Anolis sagrei: one gene and its partners. The protein of the gene in region 1 binds, or shares a complex with, the protein of each later gene. Links are inferred from orthologs where the notes say so. Each region holds a gene or a part of one and is shown on either strand. Other genes may lie near its edges.

Region 1 (7,923 bases):
GCTTGTGAATAGTATCATCTGAAAGAGAAAAAATTGCTCTACAAGATTAATATGTTTTTGTTTTGCAATGTGACCATTAAGTATCCATTTACTCAGGTCAAAGTATGGTATATTTTGTGCATTTATGCATTATGCTTTCTGCATCTTCAGGGCCTGCTAGTTCTTTTGATTGGCCGCTAAGATGTGATACTTGCTGGATTCCAGAACAGCTTTTTGCTGTTATTCTAGCTCCGTCAGTGACATCATCTGGTCAGCAATATAATTGCCCTGAAACCATTCTCTTGCAGATCAATGATGCTTTCAGAATGATGAAGTAACTGAATAAACCGAGTTGAGATCATGCAGTAAAGAAACCTGCAATCAGGCTTGATATCCTGCAGTAAAGATACCTGCTCTGGCTGTTACTGCATGGCTATCAACATGCCCCCTATAGTGATGGGGATGCTGGTTTCAATGTGATAACCAGTAATGGCTCAGCCATCATGGAGAAACGCAATACACCTTGCATACAAGATATAATATGCTTTGACCCATTTACTGGAGCCCCCAGTAGTGCAGTGGATTAAACGCCTGTGCAGGCAGGACTGAAAACCGACAGATGGCAGGTTCGAATCCGGGGAGAGCATGGATGAGCTCCCTCTGTCAGCTCCAGCTCCCCATGCGGGAACATGAAAGAAGCCTACCACAATGATGGTAACAAATCAAAACATCTGGGTGTCCCCTGGGCAATGTCCTTGCAGACGGCCAATTCTCTCACACCAGAAGTGGCTTGCAGTTTCTCAAGTTGCTCCTGACACAACCAAAAAATCCATTTACTCAGGTCACTATCGTTCAGATAAGGGGGTTGAGATCAGCAGCTATTGCAGTTAGAAACCTCACATTTTGGGAAACTTAGTTTAACACCTGACTGCCACTACAGCTAAAATTTGAACAAAATTGGAGACATGATGGTGGGAAAGTTTAGACTACTTGGTACGGAATGACCCAAAAACCTTTGAAGATTATGTTGCCTATATTATATCCACTTTAGAATACACATTTCAAACTTCAGTAACTGCCTCTTGGCATTGGACTGTTCTTTTATCATGGAGAGATTCCAGGAGATTTTGAGATCAGACACACTCTGCTCAACCCATTCCAATACAAGAACACAGATAACTGGTTACAAAGAAGAAGGTATTTGCAATGAATTCAACTTGTGCAGCAACTAAGTTATTCTACAAGTATAATGTAATGAGGATAACTTCACTTCTTTTGCATTATTAGTCTTTTTACTCACTGCTCTAACTAAAGGAGGCGTGTTAGGTATGTTTTGCTCCACAGGTCAGGAAAATTATAGCACTCCATTTTAAAACTATGTATGAAGTTTAAAAATGCTAAAGGATGTACAAACAATGAGTTACTTTTCACAAACTGTTCTAAATTCTGGGGGTTTTGAACTATTTCAAAGTCGGCCTAGTCTGTTTAGCTTTCTAATCTCTTCTTGCAGGTCAACAAAAAGTAATTCATTATTATTATTATTATTATTATTATAACAATAATAATAAACAATCTTTATATCCCACCCAATCTTCCCAGAGGGACTCAAGGTGGATTCCAATATGCAGTGACAAACATTCAATGCCTCCATAAAACAAGTACCAACATCATAACCCCCGAAAAACCTCACATATAAAAACAATTAGAACCTAATATCAATAGATTATAGCAATCGTAAACAAAAACTATATAAAATCTGAACATAAAACAATTCACATGGATCTACAGATGCCAACTATCATTCATAACATTGTGTGAGTTGTTTTTGTGGCCAGTGATGATAACTGGGCTAACATGGATTAGCAGAGCCTGGATACAAAATAATTCTCAACCAGAGGTCTGGTAGTGCTCTCTTATTATTAGGTTTATTTATACCATGCTTTATCTGTCCCAAAGGAGACTCAAAGCAGCTTACTTTGTTGGCGATAGCAACCTTCTCAAGCCTACTCTATGTAAAGTTATGTTTGTTTATAATGTGTCATTTTATTTCTTAAAGTGTATGCCTTCTTTGGTTTTCAGTTTCCTTAGCTCTATATACTTGAGGCAGTGGGAGGGGCTGCAGATCAGTGACAGTAGAGAATGCATATTAAAACATGATGACAGTTGAGGAATGAGTGTGGAGGCTTGAGTCAATTAGAATACAGAAGCCAGTGTAGGCAGTTAGAAGACAGTTGAGGCTTATGTCAGTTAGAATAGAAAAGCTAGTGTATTTATTTATTTATGACATTTACATGCTGCCCTTCTCATCCCAAAGGGGACTCAGAGCAGCTTACAAGTTATATGTACATACAATATATTATATTATTAGCATAGCACAATATTAGTATTATACATTACACTATACTGAACTATACCACTATACTGTAATATTATTAGTAATATAACATGTAACATGAAATATAAAATTATATTAGTACTATTATATTGTATTACATTATAATATTATCAATATTATATGTGCATACAATATATTATAATATTAGCTCTGCCAGGCCCGTAGCCAGGATTTGGGTTGGGGGGGGGTGAGTTTGATTCGGGGGGGGGGGCTGAGTCTGAGTGAAAGAGGGTCTACCCTAGCAAACCTTTTGTATCATTACCCCAATACCCCCATGCATACGGGATATATTGAGCATGTTGATCAGATCATGATATGAATAAACATAACAGTTTAAATAATGTACCAGTAAGGCCTTCTTGTGGACCACGATGAGAATTTCGCCGGGGGGGGGGGGAGAAGCCCCTCAAGTCCCCCCCCCCCCCCGGCTACATGCCTGAGCACATCACAATATTAGTATTATATAGTCAGAAGGCAGTTAGACCATGAGACAGGAGCCCCCGGGGGTGCCATGGGTTAAACCCTTGTGCCAGCAGGACTGAAGACTGACAAGTCGGTGGTTCGAATACGGGGAGAGCATGGAGGAGCTCCCTCTGTCAGCTCCAGCTCCCCATGCAGGGACATGAGAGAAGCCTCCCACAAGGATGGTAAAACATCAAAACATCCGGGCGTCCCCTGGGCAACGTCCTTGCAGACGGTCAATCCTCTCACACCAGAAGCGATTTATAGTTTCTCAAGTCACTCCTGACACAAAAAAAGCCTTGAAACAATTTGAGTACAGAAGTCTGTTTTTCAAACTGTTAGGAAGGCTGGGTTGTTGTAGGTTTTTTTCGGGCTATATGGCCATGTTCTAGAAGCATTCTCTCCTGACGTTTCGCCTGCATCTATGGCAAGCATTCTCAGAGGTAGTGAGGTCTGTTGGAACTAGGAAAATCTATATAAATAAAAATGTAATGTTTGTTTGTGATATTAACAGAACTCAAAAACCACAGGACGAATTGACACCAAATTTGGACACAAGACACCTAACAACCCAATGTATGTCCTTCACTAAAAAAAAAGAATAGATTTTGTCATTTGGGAGTTGTGTTGTTGTTGTTCATTCGTTCAGTCGTCTCCGACTCTTCGTGACCTCATGGACCAGCCCACGCCAGAGCTCCCTGTCGGCCGTTACCACCCCCAGCTCCCTCAAGGTCAGTCCAGTCACTTCAAGGATGCCATCCATCCATCTTGCCCTTGGTCGGCCCCTCTTCCTTTTGCCTTCCACTTTCCCCAGCATCATTGTCTTCTCTAGGCTTTCCTGTCTCCTCATGATGTGGCCAAAGTACTTCAACTTTGTCTCTAGTATCTTTCCCTCCAGTGAGCAGTCAGGCTTTATTTCCTGGAGGATGGACTGGTTGGATTTTCTCGCAGTCCAAGGCACTCTCAGCACTTTCCTCCAACACCACAGCTCAAAAGCATCGATCTTCCTTCGCTCAGCCTTCCCTAAGGTCCAGCTCTCACATCCGTAGGTGACTACAGGGAATACCATGGCTTTGACTAGGCGGATCTTTGTTGCCAGTCTGATGTCTCTACTCTTCACTATTTTATCGAGATTGGACATTGCTCTCCTCCCAAGAAGTAAGCGTCTTCTGATTTCCTGGCCACAGTCTGCATCTGCAGTAATCTTTGCACCTAGAAATACAAAGTCTGTCACAGCCTCCACGGTTTCTCCCTCTATTTTCCAGTTGTCAATCATTCTTGTTGCCATAATCTTGGTTTTTTTGACGTTTAGCTGCAACCCGGCTTTTGCGCTTTCTTCTTTCACCTTGATTAGGAGTTGTAGTTGCTGGGAAATATAGTTCACTTACAATCAAAGAGCATTCTGAACCCCACCGACAATAGAATTGGACCAAACTTGGCACACAGTTCTCCCATGACCAACAGAAAATACTGGAAGGGTTTGGTGGGCAGTGTCCTTAGGTTTTGGAGTTGTAGTTCACCTAAATCCAGAGATCACTGTGGACTCAAACAATGATGGATCTGAACCAAACTCTACACAAATACTCAATATGCCCAAATGTGAACACTGGTGGATTTTGGGGAAAATAGAATCTTGACATTTGGGAGTTGTAGTTGCTGGGATGTATAGTTCACCTATAATCACAGACCATTCTGAACCCCACCAACGATAGAATTAGGCCAAACCACCCACACAGAACCCCCATGTGGGCCACAGCAACGCGTGCCTGGGAACGGCTAGTGGGTTTATATATCTGTGGAATGACCAGGGTGGGACAAAGAACTCTTGTCTGTTGGAGCTAGGTGTAAATGTTTCAACTGTTGGGAAGGCTGTTAGGAATTGTGGGAGTTGTAGTCCTCAACACCTGCAGGGCCGAAGTTGGGTGTTCTTTTCCTCACCTGCTTTCTTCTCCTTTCAGAACGCGCGAGAAGACAGGCCCCGCCCCTTTCGCCCACTCAGTGACGTCACTCCCTTTATCCTGACTCCACCCACCAGCGCTCGTTCGCGCGCGCGCGGACTCTCTCTCTCTCTTTAGCCCCGCCCCCCGTTCTCTCCCAAATACGCGCGCGGAGGGACCAGTCAAACCGGCAGGCATCCCCTCTTGGCTTCTCTCTCGTCATCCAATCGGATTGAAGCAAGCCAGCAGGCATCTCTCTCTTTCTCTCTTTCTCTCTCCCCCCTCCCTTTTTTTGGCTTCTCCCGTTCTACCCAATCGGATCGAAGCAAGCAGGAAAGCAAGCGTCGGGCGAAGGCAAAGAGGAGCAGCACGCGCTCACTCTCTCTCTCTCTTTGGAAGCGTAGTCTCGCGAGACTCGGGAGCCGGCTAAGGGGGTTCCTGGTTGGTGGGACTGAGCGCTGAGAGAAGCCGGCGAGAGGAGGAGAAGAAGCAGAAGAAGAACAAGAAAGAAGGAGCCTGACGGCCGGGACCGCGCGGGAGGAGGCGAGGGGGGCTCCTCCTTCGGAAGGGAACAAGGCCGCGCCAACCGCCGCCGGGACATGGCTGAGAACGAGGCGGGGAGCGAGATCCCTCCCGCCGCCGCCACTGCCGGGTCCGGCACCGAGAGCGCCGCGGAGGCAGTTGTGGAGGGGCCGCCAGGAGGAGGAGGAGGAGGCGCCGAAGAAGGAGCGGTAAGAGAGGGAGGGGGGGGGAGCCCGAGAGAGAGAGCGAGTGAGGAGGAGGGCGCTTCTGCCTCCCTCTTCCGCCCTTCTCCCTTCTTCGCCGTTCCCCGCGTGGGACGAGGAGACAATGGCAGGAGGGAGGCGGAGGAAGAGCCCCAGCCCAGCCTTCCGGGGCTCTCCCGAAATCCTCCTCTTCTCTCTCTTGCCCTTCTTCAGCTTCTTCTTATTCCTCCTCTTCTTCCTTCTCCTTCCTCTTCTTTCTCCTTCTCTTCATCTTTCTCTTCTTTTCCTTCCTTTTCAGTTCCTTCTTCTTCTTCCCTTCCTCCTCTTTTCCTTTCTTTTTAACTTCTTCCTCCTCCTCCTCTGCTTTTTCTGTTTTCTCCTCTTCACCTTTCTCTTCTTTTCCTTCCTTTTCAGTTCCGGCTCCTTCTTCTTCCCTTCCTCCTCTTTTCCTTTCTTTTCACTTCTTCGTTCCTCCTCCTCTTCTCCCTTTTCTGTTTTCTCCTCTTCACCTTTCTCTTCTTTTCCTTCCTATTCAGTTTCTGATCCTTTGTCTTCTTCCCTTCCTCTTTTCCTTTATTTCCACTTCTTCCTTCCTTCTCTTCTTCTTTTTCTGTTTTCTCTTCTCCTCTTTACCTCTTCACCTGTCTCTTCTTTTCCTTCCTTTTCACTTCCTTCCCTTTCCTCCTCACTTTCTCCTCATTTCCTTCCTTTTCTCTTCTTTACTTCTTCCTCCTCTTCACCTTCATCTTCCTCTTTTCCACCCCTTTTCACTCCTTCCCTTTCCACTTCACTTCCTCTTTTCCTTCCTTTTCACCTCTTATTTCCTCTTCTCCTTCCTCTTTAGTTTTCTCTTCTTTCTCCTCTTCATCTTTTCTTTTCCTTCCTTTTCACTTCTTCCTCTACCTCCTCTTCTCCTTCCCTTTCCTCTTCACTTCATCCTCATCTCCCTCTTCCTCCCCATCACCCTCATTTCTCTCTCTCAGTCCTTCTCTTCCTTTCCTTCTTGTTCTTCCTTTTCCTCCTCACCATTCTCTTCCTTCTTCTTCCTCCTCTTCTTTCTCCTTCATCTCCTCCTCTTCACCTTCGTCTTCCTGCCCTTGTTCTTCTTTTTCACTTCCTCATCCTCTTCTCTCTTTTCTTCTGTTTTCTCTTATTCTCCTCTTAGCCTTCATCTTTCCCTTCTTTCCCTTCCTTTTCACTTCTTTCTCCTCTTAACCTCCATCTTTCTTTCTCCTTTTCTTCCTCTCCTTGTTCTTCCTTGTGACTTTTTCCTCCTCACCACCCTCTTCTTTTCCTTCTCCTTCATCCTCTTTCTCTTCCCTCTCTTCCTACTTCCTTGCCATCTTTTCTTATTTCTACTCCTATTTTCTTCTCTCCTTGTTTTCTCCATCTTCTCTTTTTCTTCCTCCTCACTGTTTTCTTCTTCTCCTTTCTCCTCTTTCACATCTCTTCTTTTTCTTCTTGTACTTCCTTGCTTCTTCTTTTTGTCTTCTTTTTTACACATTTTTTTTCTTTTTCCTTTTTCTCTCTATCTTCTCCTTCCTTCTCTTCTTTTTCTTCTTGTACTTCCTTGCCTCTTCTTTTCATCTTCTTTTTACACATTTTCTCTTCTTTTTCCTTTTTCTCTCCATCTTCATCTGACCTGGACTCTATGCTTTCTTTCTTTAATGGGAGAGAGTCCAGACTGCCTACAGTATACAATTAATGTGGTTTGGCCCAATTTGAGGTGCCCTGTCTCAATGTTGTGGGATCCTAGGAGTTGTAGTTTTATGGGCACCAACACTCTTTGATAGAGAAGGCTAAAGACCTTGGTTGCACCTTCAACTGTAGATTTAAGGCAATTTGACATCATTTTAATTCAGTGCCAGGTCTTCAACCTTCTCTGCCAAAGAGTGATGGTGCCTCATAAAACAAACAAGTCCTATCATTCTATTGCATTGAGGCATGGTAGCTAAAGTGGCTAAGAATGTTAGTCTGGCAGCAGCCACTGAAAGGGCTCTTTCTGATGTTCTCTGTAAAATTACAACTCCCATGATTCCACAACATTGAGCTACAGCAATTAAAGTGGTGTCAAACAGCATGAATTCTGCAGTTAAGATGCACCTTTAGAGTCCAATACTCAAAAGCTGGCTCTTCCTTGCTGGGTTGCTTGGCTCCAAAACTGCGTGATCCCAGACAGGTTGATTCACGCTCCATTTATACTGACCGATTAATGCATTTTGAAGCTAGCTTCAAACTGTGACGGCCAATGGCCAGGCAACAAACACACACAGAAGCATGCGAAAGAAAGCCCATGATGTGTATCAGTGCTCTGTGCTTTGCATATCATCTGGGCCTCAAACTGGTTCCAGGATTTCCTATGTAATTGCCTGCACAGCAAAACCACTTTCTTCAATACTGGTTTGAAACTGCATTAACTGGTCAG
Region 2 (7,741 bases), on another chromosome or scaffold:
AAGTGTATAAAAGGCTTTTAAAACAAAATTTGTAAAAGAATGGCATAGGTGCTGAAGTGTAAATAAGAGCGATAAATCTTTCAAATTGCATGATATCCTTTATCTGATCTGAACTGCTTCAATATCGCTATTTGTTTACTGTAAGTCTAATTCAGCATTTACTTTTTGTATGTTGTTAATTACATTGTTTTTTGAACTGTGAACCACCTGGAGTCCCAATCCTGGGGGAAAAGCAAGTCAATAGCAATAATGATGATGGGAATCATATTTGCACAGACTGAAAAAACCACCATGCATTAGAAAAAAAGTCATTTTATTTTAACATAAACTTTCCAACTTTGATATTAATGTTTTGAATTGTATCGTTCTTTTAAAAATGTGAATTCTGGGGGGGGGGGGAAGATAATAATGATAATGATAATAATAATAATAATAATAATGGTGTTTGCATAGGCTACATACAATCATGCATGAGAAGGAAGCAATCTTTCTTTCTAATAACTTTCTCTATTTTAATACAAACTTTTCTACTATAACATTAACGTTCTGTATGTTTTGAATTGTATTGTTCTTTTAACTTGTGAATCATTTGGGAGTCTCAATCCTGGGGAATGCACAATATTATTATTACTACTACTACTACTACTACTACTACTACTAACAACAACACTATGCAACAAGATTAGCAGTATTTTCTGTTCCTGGTTTGACAGTGTTATTCCTATTTAATTGCGCAGAACTTTAAAAGTAGTTGTTATGCTCCAAAACTTTGTTTTTGTGTCTGCCACAAACTATGTTGAATTGGTCAAGACTCTATGAGACATTTCTTGAAAAACCAGGACCAAGAAGAGAGTGATTTTCTTTTCTTTCCCACAAATTTGCCTACTCAATGCCACAGGGAAGTAGCAGCCAGCAATGAAAGGACCAAGGCATTGACATCTCCGGCCCATCCTCTGTTCGGGTATCAGCCAGCATGCTAACGACTTAAATCAAGATACAGCTTCCTAAGATCTACAGAGATATTTGCTGGAACATCTCAGCAAGTGAGAGCCCAAAAGTGATAGGTAAAAACCCAGAATATCAATCAGTGGGTGATACCAGATAAGAAACTCCCTCATGGGCACACAGAAGACTGTGCAATTTGGAAGGCGCTGAACAAACTGCGCTCTGGCGACCTGAGCTGCAGAGGCAATCATAGAGTTTGAAGAGACCTTGTGGGCCATCCAGCCCAACACCCTGGAAATCGCATTCAAAGCACCCCTGACAGGTGGCCATCCAGCTTCTGCTTTAAAAACAGGAGAAAACAAGCCTGCTCCCTCCCATGACTTCCCCACAAATATTTATATATGGCCATCATGCTTCTTTTCAGCCTTCCCTTCTGCAGTTTAAATATGCCCATCTCTTTAAGCAGCTTCTCACAGGGCTTGTTCTCCAGACCCTTGATCATTTTAGTTGCCCTTCTCTGGGCACATTTCAGCCTGTCAATATCTCCCTTAAATTGCAGTGGCCAGAACTGGACACAGTATTCCAGCTGTGGTCTGACCAAGACAGACTAGAGAGGTAGCGCGTATTCCCTGAATCTAGACACTATACTCCTATTTATGCAGGCCAAAATCCCTATGGCTTTTTAAGATGTTGCTTCACATTGTTTGCTAATGTTTAACTTGTCCATGAGGACTACAAGATTTTACACGTACTGCTATCGGGCCAGGCGTCCTCCATTCTGTATCTTTGCATTTCATTTTTTTTTTGTCGAAGTGGAGTATCTTGTTAGTTCATTTTGTTAATTCATCTTAAGAAATGGAGCTACAAAGTGGAGCCCATAACATGAGAGTGTGGAGAAGAGCAAACCACAGACCACTTAATACAGTGGTTCTCAACCCTGTGAATCCCCAGGAGTTTTGGCCTACAACTCCCAGAAATCCCAGCCAGTTTACCAGCTGTTAGGATTTCTGAGAGTTGGAGGCCAAAACATCTGGGGACCCACAGGTTGAGAACGACTGACTTACTACGATGCAGTCTGCGCCCTGCCACATGCACAATGGAGGACTTCCTTAAAGCAACAACAGAGGCACTCAAAGTGACCAGCTTCTGCTCAAAGGAAATGTAGCATAATGCCAAGTTTTTAACTTTGTTTGTGGGTTTTTTTTAATACAACTATATTCTAAATTTGCTTCTGATATGATAAATAAATAACATTTTGTATATTTCGTACCGTTCTTTCAAATAGAGGACCACTTCCCTGGGCAGGATTATAATAATATTTGTACAGGTTCGGCAAACTTGGGCCCTCCAGGTGTTTTGGACTTCAACTCCCACAATTTCTAACAGCCTACCGGCTGTTAGGAATTGTGGGAGTTAAAGTCCAAAACTCCTGGAGGGCCGAAGTTTGCCCAGGCCTGAGCTAAAGGCTTTCTCTTTTCCTGCCTTGAAGTCCTTTCCAGCCCTATTTGTTTGTATGGAGACAAAAGGCAGCTGCCTTGAGGCGCTCTCCCTGCACACACGGACCTCTATTTACATGGCACACCCTGTTGCTTTGGATGTGGCCACGCACTTACCTTTCTCTTCCTCCTCTTCCTCGCTCTCTCCCACTTTGTTTTCGGCTTCTGAGCCCATTTCTTCCGCCTCCTCCGCGGCCTGGGAGCCGTCTTTTTCGGAAACAGACGTCATGGCTGGTTCTCCTGCAGGGAGACACAAGCAGGGAGGCGTCAACGCAGCCTCGGCCTTGAAAACGCCACGGGGTTCGACCTCTATTTGACAGAAAGGGCGCCCGGGCGGGCTTCGGCCTCTGTATCAGGGCCTACTTCGCGGTCTGGGTTGAGCGGGAAGAAGAGCCCGCCATTATTTTGAGTTGGGAAGCGGCCTACCCGACGGCGGAGGCCCGGCCCCTCCTCCTCCTCCTCTTCCTCTCCCGCCTTCTTTCTCTTCTCCTCAGACGAACAGCGCGCCTACTGAAACCTCTTCGCTCGAGATGGCGTCGAGTATAGCATCGCGAGATTTCCGCTGTCCCGCGACGGCTGACATCTCGCGGGATCCCCTAGTTCTGTTCTCATTCTCTCGCGAGACTCGAGAGGCTTTCTATAAGCCTGCCTCCAGAGTTGTTGTTCTTATTATATTTGGGTTGCTGTGAGTTTTCTGGGCTGTCTGGTCATGTTCCAGAAGCATTCTCTCCCTCATCTATGGCAGGCATCCTCAGAGGTTGTGAGGTCTGTTGGAAACTAAGCAAGTGGGGTTTATATATCTGGAATGTCCAGGGAAGGGGGAAAAAACTGTCAGCTTGAATGTTTGCAATTTTGTGTTTTGTCTGTCTGTTTGTTTTGTTCTGTTAGAAATGTAATACAATTGACTGGTTGCCCTGACACGACAAATAAATAAATAAATGCAATTGGCCGCCTTGATTACCATTGAATAGCCTTGCAGCTTCAAAGACTGGCTGATTCCTGCCTGGGGGGATGCTGGACCGCACTAACCACCACCATGTCAGACTACACAGAGAACTCTTAACTACACAGATCATAGAATCAAAGAGTTGGAAGAGACCTCATGGGCCATCCAGTCCAACCCCCTGCCGAGAAGCAGGAATATTGCATTCAAATCACCCCTAACAGATGGCCATCCAACCTCTGTTTAAAAGCTTCCAAAGATTTAAAATTATTATGTCCTGTTGCTGTAAACTTCAGTAAAAGTATCAGTTCAATTGATCATGAGAATACTCAATTCATATAGTACACAAGCATAGGGAGCTATTTACAATGGTGTAACAAACCTAATATTCATGAAAATGAACAAAATCTGGCTACCAGTATTTTTTTAAAAACTCTAAAATCAGGACAGTAAGTAAAGACTCAAAAAGCCAGGGAAGTCCAGACAATCCAATCAGGGCCAGCTAACACCTCATAGAATCAAAGAGTTGGAAGAGACCTCATGGGCCATCCAGTCCAACCCCCTGCCAAGAAGCAGGAATATTGCATTCAAATCACCCCTAACAGATAGCCATCCAGCCTTTGTTTAAAAGCTTCCAAAGAAGGAGCCTCCACCACACTCCAGGGCAGAGAGTTCCACTGCTGGACGGCTCTCACAGTCAGGAAGTTCTTCCTCATGTTCAGATGAAATCTCCTTTCTTGTAGTTCTTGTCCTAATCCCCATGGAAGCAGTAAACAAGCTTGCTCCCTCCTCCTTGTGGCTTCCTCTCACATATTTATACATGGCTATCATATCTCCTCTCATCTTCTTCAGGCTAAACATGCCCAGCTCCTTAAGATACTCCTCATAGGGCTTGTTCTCCAGACCCTTGATCATTTTAGTCGCCCTCCTCTGTACACATTCCAGCTTGTCAATATCTCTCTTGAATTGTGCCCAGAATTGGACACAATATTCCAGGTGTGGTCTAACCAAAGCAGAATATCTATAAGTACAATGTAAATACAGAAATGTCCCCAGAGTGACTCACGCTCCCACCTCCTTCGCAGGCGCTATTGGTGGGGACGAGGGAGAGTGCCTTCTCGGTGGTGGCCCCCCAACTCTGGAACTCACTTCCCAGGCACATCAGATATGCCCCAACTCTGGCAGTCTTTAGGAGGAGCATGAAAACGTGGTTGTTCCAGTGTGCCTTCCCAGAATAATGAAAACTCTCAGCAATATGCCCTCAAAACGCACTTTACCACTGATTTAGGACTGACTGCATGCCCTCATTTCTCTCTGAAAATCCTATCCCAGTTATATCCTACCTTGTTCACGTCAGCATTATTTTTTTAATTTTAATCTATTACATTTGGCCCGGCCATTGGTTTTAAATGCTTGTATGTCACTGTTGATTGTTTATTGCTTATTTTTTGTTTATGTGATTTATATGAATTGTATTGTATTGATTGTTTTATTGATGTTTTGTTTATTGATGTATTGTGGGCTTGGCCTCATGTAAGCCGCTCCGAGTCCCTTGGGGAGATGGTAGCGGGGTACAAATACAGTTTTTAAAAAAATTATTATTATTATTATGTCCTGTTGCTGTAAACTTCAGCAAAACTATCAGTTCAATTGATCATGAGAATACTCAATTCGTATAGTACACAAGCATAGGGAGCTATTTACAATGGTGTAACAAACCTAATATTCATAAAAATGAACAAAATCTGGCTACTAGTACTAAAAAACACCCTCTAAAATCACGACAGAAAGTAAAGACTCAAAAAGCCAGGGAAGCCCAGACAATCCAATCAGGGCCAGCTAACACCTCCCAACAAAGGATCCCCCAGGCAGCAACCAGTCAGGCATTGAAGCGACAAGACCATTAAATGCTAATCAAGGTGGCCAACTGCAACATTCACACCTTCCTCAAGCAGACAAGAGTTCTTTCTCCTACCCTGGACATTCCACAGATACGTAAACATCCTTAGGCAACAGACCTCACCACCTTTGAGGATGCCTGCCATAAATGCAAGTGAAATGTCAGGAGAGCCCAATCCCCTGAGAAATTTCTTTCTACTCATCTTCCCCCCTCTAAACCAACTAACCCCCAAAAGTCCCAGTGAAAAATATTTTGTTCCAGTTTTAGTGGTGGGGGAGGATCTATGTGCCAAATTTCGTCCAAATCCATCAATGATGAGGCTCGCAGTGGTCTCTGGATGTGTGTGAAGGTACTGCAACTCCCATCAATTTCTAATTTCTATGTATGGTTCTGAAAGTAGACAGTTAATTTTTTGTGCCCATTTTTACTTTCAGTATTGTTACAATAGGGCGAAGACCAACTTTTTAATGATGTTTGTAGATTGGTCTATATAGCTTTGCATTCTGTTTTGACCAGAGTCCCCAGTGTGACTCACAAAATAAAAACAATTTCATTAAAGATTAAAGATGATTACAGTTGTTCATTTGTTCAGTCATTTCTGACTCTTCGTGACCTCATGGACCAGCCCATGACAGAGCTCTCTGTCGGCTGTCACCACCCCCAGCTCCTTCATGGTCAATCCAGTCACTTCAAGGATGCCATCCATCCATCTTGCCCTTGGCCGGCCTCTCTTCCTTTTTCCTTCCATTTTCCCCAGCATCATTGTCTTCTCTAAGCTTTTCTTTCTTCTCATGATCTGGCCAAAGTACTTCATCTTTGCCTCTACTATCCTTCCCTCCAGTGAGCAGTCGGGCTTTATTTCCTGAAGTATGGACTGATTGGATCTTCTTGGGGTCCAAGGCACTCTCAGAATTTTCCTCCAGCACCACAGTTCAAAAGTGTCTATCTTCCTTCGCTCAGCCTTCTTTATGGTCCAGCTTGCACACCCATACATTACTATGGGGAATACCATTGCTTTAACTATGCGGATCTTCATTGCCAGTGTAATGTTTCTTCACTATTTTATTGAGATTGCCCATTGCTCTCCTACCAAGAAGTAAACGTCTTCTGATTTCCTTGATGCAGTCTCTGTCTGCAGTAATCTTTGCGCCTAGAAATACTAAGTCTGTCACTGCCTCCACATTTTCTCCTTCTATTTGCCAGTTATCCATCAGTCTGGTCGTCATAATCTTGGTTTTTTGATGTTTAACTGCAATCCACAATTTCTTCTTTCACCTTGGTTAGAAAGCTCCTCAATACTGTGTTAAACAATATAATGTATTATGAAATAATACCTGAGAAAAATAAATTAAGCACGAGCTCTGATCTGTAAAATGATCAGATAATAGAAAAGGACTGTAGTGCCAAAAGGATCTTCAGAGGACTTTCAAAGTTAAGAGAAAGATTTTTTCTTTCAGACATGCATAATACACTTTCCCCAAAACAAATGGGAAGAGATGCTTTTTGAAATATTGGGAACCATGCTGTTTAGAGTTTTACAAATAAGCACCAGTACCTTGAGCTGGACTTGGGGGAGCCCTTATAGTGCATTCTAACTTGATGTACTGTGTCATGAATGTATCAGAATAAACCAGCCTGAGGTACAATGCTTTTGAATTCTTTTCATGGATGGTGTGATGTAATACAATAAATCAAAATTAATGAAAATAAATATTATTGTATAACGATTGACTGATCAGGAACCGCCATGCGGCTCTAGTTCAAGGATAACAAAAGAGGCAGAAACACACTACCACTTCAGGATAATTATGTTGAAAACACAACTGAAACAGAATGCTATAAAGAAATGCAGATTCTGGCAAGTGGTTGTCTTGAAAGACAACCCTCTGCTCTGTAAACAGAGCTCTGTCATTAATCTTGACAAAAATAAGACTGTAGATAGTACTCTGATGTACAATGGGCTCCTATGGCTAAGAAGCTAAATTAGTAATTAGGTTGTTACATACTTTTGAAAGAATGGAGAGTACTGTGAAAGTCCAAAATTAAATATAATTACCACGTAACTGAGTTTTTGTACCTGCATAATGGTTCTCTCTGCAGGTAAAAAACAGAAACGATCTTCTGTATATATGGTAAACATGATCTGCCCGTAGTTTGCAGTGGGTAACTCTACTGGCTGGCATCCAATTTTGATCTTTTGGATTGAAGGGAAAATAATTAAGTACTTCATAAATCATCATAACTGCATCACCAAGAGAAATGTTAAATGATTTTTTTTGATAGTTCGTATTTCAGATACTATTACTATTATAGGTGGTCTAATGTTTTTTATTCTAAGAATTCGCCTACTTAAAATTAATGCATAACTCTTGACTTCTGTGTTCTGGTTTTGTCTATCACATTGGGAAGATGGGTTTTTTGCTTTATTATCATATATTCTTATTATGTCAGAATTAG
Region 3 (7,410 bases), on another chromosome or scaffold:
TTTTAATCATATAACAATGGGGGGAATATGACCTTAGAAAAATCTTCTTTTTGCCTCCAAGCCATTTTTCTTTCAAATTTCTCCACAAAGAACTTCCATCCAAGTCTTCCCCTTTGTGTCATATCTGATGCCGACAGGAAAACCTGGATTTCTTTAACATATGTTTATTGCCTTCACTCACGAACACAATAGAATGGCTTGGCTGGCAGACCCCCCACCCGGATCTCGCTAAGCCTCAGGAACAATTTTGTCATAATCCAGAATGCATTGTATCCCTTCATCCCGCCTCCCTCCCTTCCGATTCGCTGGAGCGTCAAGGCAGCAGGAGCCTCCTGATAGGCTCTGTTGCATCGCGAAAGCCCTGTGATTGGCCCTGATGCATGGGGATGGCCAAGCCTCCTCCCAGCTGTTTGCGCATCAGCCAATCCCCTTCAAGCTGGGTGGGAGGGGGGAGCGGGAATTTTGAAACTCACAACTCTGTATTTTCTATAAAAATGGCCTTTACTTCTGTAACCACATGCTCTGCTTGGCGAATGATTGCTGCTCTGCATCCTTTTCAGTTTAATCGCAAATAAAACATCTCGGTGGCACTTCCTTCAACTTGGTGAGACCTTTTATTGGGAAAAATCAGGGATTGGGTGCTTCTCTCTGTCTTGTCAGGGAAAAGAACTCTTTGATGAGTCTAATTGGTCTCTGCCTCCTGGCAAAGACCCCAAAATTCCTCCTCTATAACAGGATGTAGTGCTCACTAATGTCGTTGGAGGGAGGGCCACTGATGTCACCCGAGTGGTGGGATTTAAAGCTGTTTGTGGAGATGGGAGGTTGACTTTGCAAATGAACACACATGTATTATTAATAATAATGATTATTAATTATTATATTAGGTGTATAGATAAAAGATAGATCGATACGTGTGTGTTCTTGTCTGCGTACTTTAGTAATTTATTGTATGTTTATGTTCACTTGTTTTTTACTTGGTTGTACTCCGCCTCGAGCCATCACGTGAGTAATAAAAAAAATGCAACAAGTAAATAAATACATTAATTAATACATAAACAAACAGCTCCGCACCTGTGCCAAGGCCAGGCTGAATCCCGGACGGGACGCCTCTCGCGTGGCTCCCAATCCCACAACCAGGCGCTTTAATGTGTATTTCAACAGGTCGCCATCCTAAAAGAAACAATGCATGGAGACACTGAAGCAAGGCAAAGTTCTCTCTCTCTCAACCTTGCTGCTTTTTTTAATAGAGTGTGCATGGCCATCTGCCGGTAGGGATCAGATGGTGTCTTTCTTTAGGACTGAATGGGTTTGGACTAGATGGCACTTGAGCCTCTCTTCCAACTCTAGGATATTATTATTATTATTATTACTATTATTATTATTATTAATAGGTGGCCCTCTATTGGGAGGGATCAGATGGTGTCTTCCAATTCTAGGATACTATTATTACCATTAAGTAGAGGGTGGGTGGCCCTCTTTTGGGAGGGATCAGATAGTGTCTCCCAACTCTAGGATACTATTATTATGATTATTATTAAGTAGAGGCTGGGTGACCCTCCGTCAGGAGGGATCAGATGGTGTCTTCCAACTCTAGGATACTATTATTATGATTATTATTAAGTAGAGTCTGGGTGGCCCTCTGTCAGGAGGGATCAGATGGTGTCTTCCAACTCTAGGATAATATTATTATCATTATGATTAAGTATAGGCTTGGTGGCCCTCTGTCAGGAGAGATTGGATGGTGTCTCCCAACTCTAGGATGCTATTATTATTATTATGATTAAGTGGAGTCTGGGTGGCCCTCTGTCAGGAGGGATCAGATGGTGTCTTCCAACTCTAGGATACTATTATTATGATTATTATTAAGTGGAGTCTGGGTGGCCCTCTGTCGGGAGGGATCAGATGGTGTTTTCCAACTTTAGAATACTATTATTATGATGATTATTAAGTGGAGCCTGGGTGGCCCTCTGTCAGGAGGGATCAAATGGTGTCTTCCAACCCCAGGATACTATTATTATTATTATTATTATTATCCTGAGTGATAATAATAATAATAATAATAATAATGGGTGACCCTCTGTCGGGAGAGATTGGATGGTGTCTTCCAACTCTAGGATGCTGTTATTATTGTGAATTTTAAGTAGAGGTTGGGTGGTTGAGTTCAGATAGTGTCTTCCAACCCCAGGATGCTATTATTATCATGATTATTGAGTATAGGCTGGGTGACCCTCTGTCGGGAGGGATCAGATGGTGTCTTCCAACTCTAGGATACTATTATTCTCATTATTATTGAGTATAGTCTAGATGGCCCTCTGTTGGGAGGGATCAGATGGTGTCTCCCAACTCTAGGATGCTATTATTATGATTATGATTAAGTGGAGTCTGGATGGCCCTCTGTCAGGAGGGATCAGATGGTGTCTTCCAACTCCAGGATACTATTATTATGATTATTATTAAGTGGAGGGTGGGTGGCCCTCTGTCAGGAGGGATCAGATGGTGTCTTCCAACTCTAGGATACTATTATTATGATTATTATTAAGTGGAGGGTGGATGGCCCTCTGTCGGGAGGGATCAGATGGTGTCTCCCAACTCTAGGATACTATTGTTATGATTATTATTAAGTAGAAGGTGGGTGACCCTCTGTCGGGAGTGATCAGATGGTGTCTTCCAACTCTAGGATACTATTATTATGATTACTATTATTAAGTGGAGCCTGGGTGTCCCTCTGTCTGGTGTCCACGTGTGGGGGTTGGACTAGATGCCCTTTGGGGTTCCCTTCCAAGCCCAAAGACTGACCTTCCTCCTCTCCTTGAGGTGTGCCAGGAGTCCCTGGGTGCCTCCCACGCGCCTCTCCTGCTCGGGCCTGGCGATCTCCCAGAAGAAGTCCAGGAACTCCCGGCTTTGGCCCAAGAGCCTCTCGCCCGCCGAAGAAGAAGCCTCCGCGCCGCCATTGCTCTCCATGCTTGGGAAAAGGAACCGGATGTCAATTCCCGCCTCACGCGCATGCGTATCCGCACCCACTTCCAGGGCAACATCCGGCTCTCGGCTGCCACCGCTCGGAATCGCTTGGTATTGCATGCGGGGAGGTCATTTTGTACTACGATTCCCAGAATTCTTTCCTATGGACAGCCTAGGTAGGGAATCCTGGGAGTTGAAGTTCCTCCAAGCTGGAGTTCTCCTCTACCCAATCCTTTCTTTCCCCATAGAATATTAGAGTTGGAAGAGACCTCCTACGCCATCCAGTCTAACCACATTCCACCAAGACCTCCCAACTAAGGATTCCCCCAGGCATTCACCACCAAGAAGGAGGAAAACCTCCCAACAAAGGATTCCCCCAGGAATTCACCATAAAGAAGCAGGAAAACCTCCCAACAAAGGATTCCCCCAGGCATTCACCACCAAGAAGGAGGAAAACCTCCCAACAAAGGATTCCCCCAAGCATTCACCACCAAGAAGGAGGAAAACCTCCCAACAAAGGATTCCCCCAGGCATTCACCACCAAGAAGCAGGAAAACCTCCCAACAAGGGATTCCCCTAGGCATTCACCACCAAGAAGGAGGAAAACCTCCCAAGAAAGGATTACCCCAGGCATTCACCACCAAAAAGGAGGAAAACCTCCCAACAAAGGATTCCCCCAGACATTCACCACCAAGAAGCAGGAAAACCTCCCAACAAAGGATGCCCCCAGGCATTCACCACCAAGAAGGAGGAAAACCTCCCAACAAAGGATTCCCCCGGGCATTCACCACCAAGAAGCAGGAAAACCTCCCAACAAAGGATTCCCCCAGGCATTCACCACCAAGAAGGAGGAAAACCTCCCAACTAAGGATTCCCCCAGGCATTCACCACCAAGGAGGAAGAAAACCTCCCAACAAAGGATTCCCCCAGGCATTCACCACCAAGAAGGAGGAAAACCTCCCAACAAAGGATTCCCCCAGGCATTCACCACCAAGAAGCAGGAAAACCTCCCAACAAAGGATTCCCCCAAGCATTCACCACCAAGAAGTAGGAAAACCCAGGAATTCACCATCAAGAAGCATTAAAACCTCCCAACAAAGGATTCCTCCGGGCAGTAAGAAGCCAGGCCTTGTAACTGAAAGGGCATTCACCACCAAGAAGCAGGAAAATCTCCCAATAAAGGATTCCCCCAGGCAGTAAGAAGCCAGGCCTTGAAACTGCAGGACCATTCACCACCAAGAAGCAGGAAAACCTCCCAACAAAGTATTCCCCCAGGCAGTAAGAAGCCAGGGCAGGAAACTGCAAAGCCATTCATCAAGAAGCAAGAAAAGCCCCAACAAAGGATTCCCCCAGGCAGAAAGAAGCCAGGACTTCAAACTGCAAGGTCATTCAACACCAAGAAGCAGGAAAACCTCCCAACAAAGTATTCCCCCAGGCAGTAAGAAGCCAGGCCCTGAAACTGCAAGGGTATTCACCACCAAGAAGCTGGAAAAGCCCCAACAAAGAATTCCCCCAGGCAGTAAGAAGCCAGGGCAGGAAACTGCAAAGCCATTCATCAAGAAGCAAGAAAAGCCCCAACAAAGGATTCCCCCAGGCAGTAAGAAGCCAGGGCAGGAAACTGCAAAGCCATTAATCAAGAAGCAAGAAAAGCCCCAACAAAGGATTCCCCCAGGCAGTAAGAAGCCAGGCCCTGAAACTGCAAGGGTATTCATCACCAAGAAGCAGGAAAAATTCCCAACAAAGGATTCCTCCAGGCAGTAAGAAGCCAGGCCTGGAAACCGCAAGGGCATTCACCACCAAGAAGCAAAAAACCTCCCAACAAAGGATTCCCCCAGGCATTCACCACCAAGAATCAGGAAAACCTCCCAACAAAGGATTCCCCAGGCAGTAAGAAGCCAGGCCTTGAAACTGCAAGGGTATTCACCACCAAGAAGCATTAAAACCTCCCAACAAAGGATTCCGCCAAGTCCTGAAACTGCAAGGCCATTCACCACCAAGAAGCAGGAAAACCTCCCTACGAAGGATTCCCCCGGGCAGTAAGAAGTCAGGCCTTGAACCCACAAGGGCATTCACCACCAAGAAGCATTAAAACCTCCCAACAAAGGATTCCGCCAAGCCTTGAAACTGCAGGGCCACTCACCACCAAGAAGCATTAAAACCTTCCAACAAAGGATTCCTCCAGGCAGTAAGAAGCCAGGCCTTGAAACTGCAAGGGTATTCACCACCAAGAAGCAGGAAAACCTCCCAACAAAGGATTCCCCAAAGCAGTAAGAAGCCAGGAATTGAAACTGTATGGCTATTCACCACCAAGAAGCAGGAACACCTCCCAACAAAGGATTCCCCAAAGCAGTAAGAAGCCAGGAATTGAAACTGTATGGCTATTCACCACCAAGAAGCAGGAACACCTCCCAACAAAGGATTCCCCCAGGCAGTAAGAAGCCAGGCCTTGAAACCGCAAGGCCATTCACCACCAAGCAGCAGGAAAAGCCCCAACAAAGGAATCCCCCAGGCAGTAAGAAGCCAGGCCTTGAAACTGCAAGGGTATTCACCACCAAGAAGCAGGAAAACCTCCCAACAAAGGATTCCACCAAGCCTTGAAACTGCAGGGCCACTCACCACCAAGAAGCAGGAAAACCTCCCAACAAAGGATTCCCCCAGGCAGTAAGAAGCCAGGCCTTGAAACTGCAAGGCCACTCACCACCAAGAAGCAGGAAAACCTCCCAACAAAGGATTCCTCCAGGCAGTAAGAAGCCAGGCCTTGAAACCGCAAGGGCATTCACCACCAAGAAGCAGGAAAACCTCCCAACAAAGGATTCCCCCAGGCAGTAAGAAGCCAAGCCTGGAAACTGCAAGGCCATTAACCACCTAGAAGCAGGAAAACCTCCCAATAAAGGATTCCCCCAGGCAGTAAGAAGCTAGGCCTTGAAACCGCAAGGCCATTCACCACCAAAAGCAGGAAAACCTCCCAACAAAGGATTCCTCCAGGCAGTAAGAAACCAGGCCTTGAAACTGCAAGGGCATTCACCAGCCTGGTAAACCCACAACAACCTTGCATTCAAAGCACCCCTGACAGATGGCCATGCAGCCTGTTTCAAATCTTCAAAGCATCCCCAACAGATGGCCATCCAGCCTCTGTTTCAAATCCTCAAATTTATTTATTTATTTACGACATTTATATGGGCCAGCTAACACTTCCGACAAAGGATTCCCCTGATCATAATTAATACTAACAGTGTGCCAAGCTAATAATATAATATATTGTATACACATATTATATTGATCATAATGTTATTATATAATACAATATAAAGCAATATAATAATATCATAACTGTAAAATACATGTAATATTACCAATAAGATTGCACTATAGGACAATATACTAATATATAATACTAATATATTACTAATATTGCTAATATTAGTAATATAATACTAATTATAATGTAATACAACATAATACTAGTAATAATAATTCAATATTATAATTATAATTATATACTTACATTACATGTAATATTAGTAATAATATTACAATATAATGGTATAGTGCAATATAGTAGTATATACTGATACTCTACTATGCTAATAATATAATATATTGTATGAAAATATATATTGTAAGCCGCTCTGAGTCCCCTTCGGGGTGAGAAGGGCGGCATATAAATGCCATAAATAAATAAATAAATAAATAATAGTGTGCTATACTAACACCTCCCAACAAAGGATTCCCCCAGGCAGGAAGAAGCCAGGCTTTGAAGCTGCAAGGCTTTGCAATGGTAATCAAGCTAGCCAATGGTAACAGTCATACTTGCCTCCAACGGACAAGAGTTCTTTCTCCCACCCTGGACATCATTCCACAGGAATATACTCACTCGCGTAGTTTCCAACAGACCCCTCAACCTCTGAGGATGCCTGCCTTAGATGTGGGCGAAAGGTCAGAAGATAATGCTTCTGGAACATGATCAGACAGCCCAGAAAACTCACAACAACCTTGCATTCAAAGCACCCCTGACAGAGGGCCATCCATCTATAGTAATATAGTAATATATAATACTAATAGTGTGCTATACTAACACCTCCCAACAAAGGATTCCCCCAGGAAGGAAGAAGCCAGGCTTTGAAGCTGCAAGGCTTTGCAGTGGTGATCAAGCTGGCCAATGGCAACATTCACACTTGTTTATATATCTGGATGTTCACAGAGATATCAACTCCATTTGACTAGTTTCGAACAGACTCACAACCTCTGAGGATGCCTGCCTTAGATGTGGGCGAAACGTCAGGAGAGAATGCTTCTGGAACATGGGCAGACAGCCCAGAAAACTCACAACCTTGAATTCAAAGCACCCCTGACAGATGGCCATCCATCTATAGTAATATAGTAATATATAATACTAATAGTGTGCTATACTAACACCTCCCAACAAAGGATTCCCCCAGGAAGGAAGAAGCC

Evidence for each region. The genes of interacting proteins can lie anywhere in the genome.
Region 2: SMARCA5 (region 1) and DEK share a complex: the UniProt entries of both Homo sapiens proteins name them as parts of the B-WICH complex. The link is inferred for Anolis sagrei from reciprocal best matches to the Homo sapiens genes SMARCA5 and DEK.
Region 3: SMARCA5 (region 1) and MYBBP1A share a complex: the UniProt entries of both Homo sapiens proteins name them as parts of the B-WICH complex. The link is inferred for Anolis sagrei from reciprocal best matches to the Homo sapiens genes SMARCA5 and MYBBP1A.

Annotation. Positions count from the first base shown.
Region 1 is NC_090025.1:46,574,504-46,582,426, forward strand, and holds the start of SMARCA5 (SWI/SNF-related matrix-associated actin-dependent regulator of chromatin subfamily A member 5), read left to right. Parts: upstream 1-4,906; 5' UTR 4,907-5,372; coding exon 5,373-5,504; intron 5,505-7,923. UniProt on the Homo sapiens protein: ATPase that possesses intrinsic ATP-dependent nucleosome-remodeling activity.
Region 2 is NC_090024.1:79,805,240-79,812,980, reverse strand, and holds the start of DEK (protein DEK), read right to left. Parts: upstream 3,001-7,741; 5' UTR 2,868-3,000; exon of another isoform or gene 2,682-2,867; 5' UTR 2,671-2,681; coding exon 2,559-2,670; intron 1-2,558. UniProt on the Homo sapiens protein: Involved in chromatin organization.
Region 3 is NC_090031.1:32,715,899-32,723,308, forward strand, and holds the start of MYBBP1A (myb-binding protein 1A), read right to left. Parts: upstream 3,001-7,410; 5' UTR 2,962-3,000; coding exon 2,797-2,961; intron 1,171-2,796; coding exon 1,072-1,170; intron 1-1,071. UniProt on the Homo sapiens protein: May activate or repress transcription via interactions with sequence specific DNA-binding proteins. Repression may be mediated at least in part by histone deacetylase activity (HDAC activity).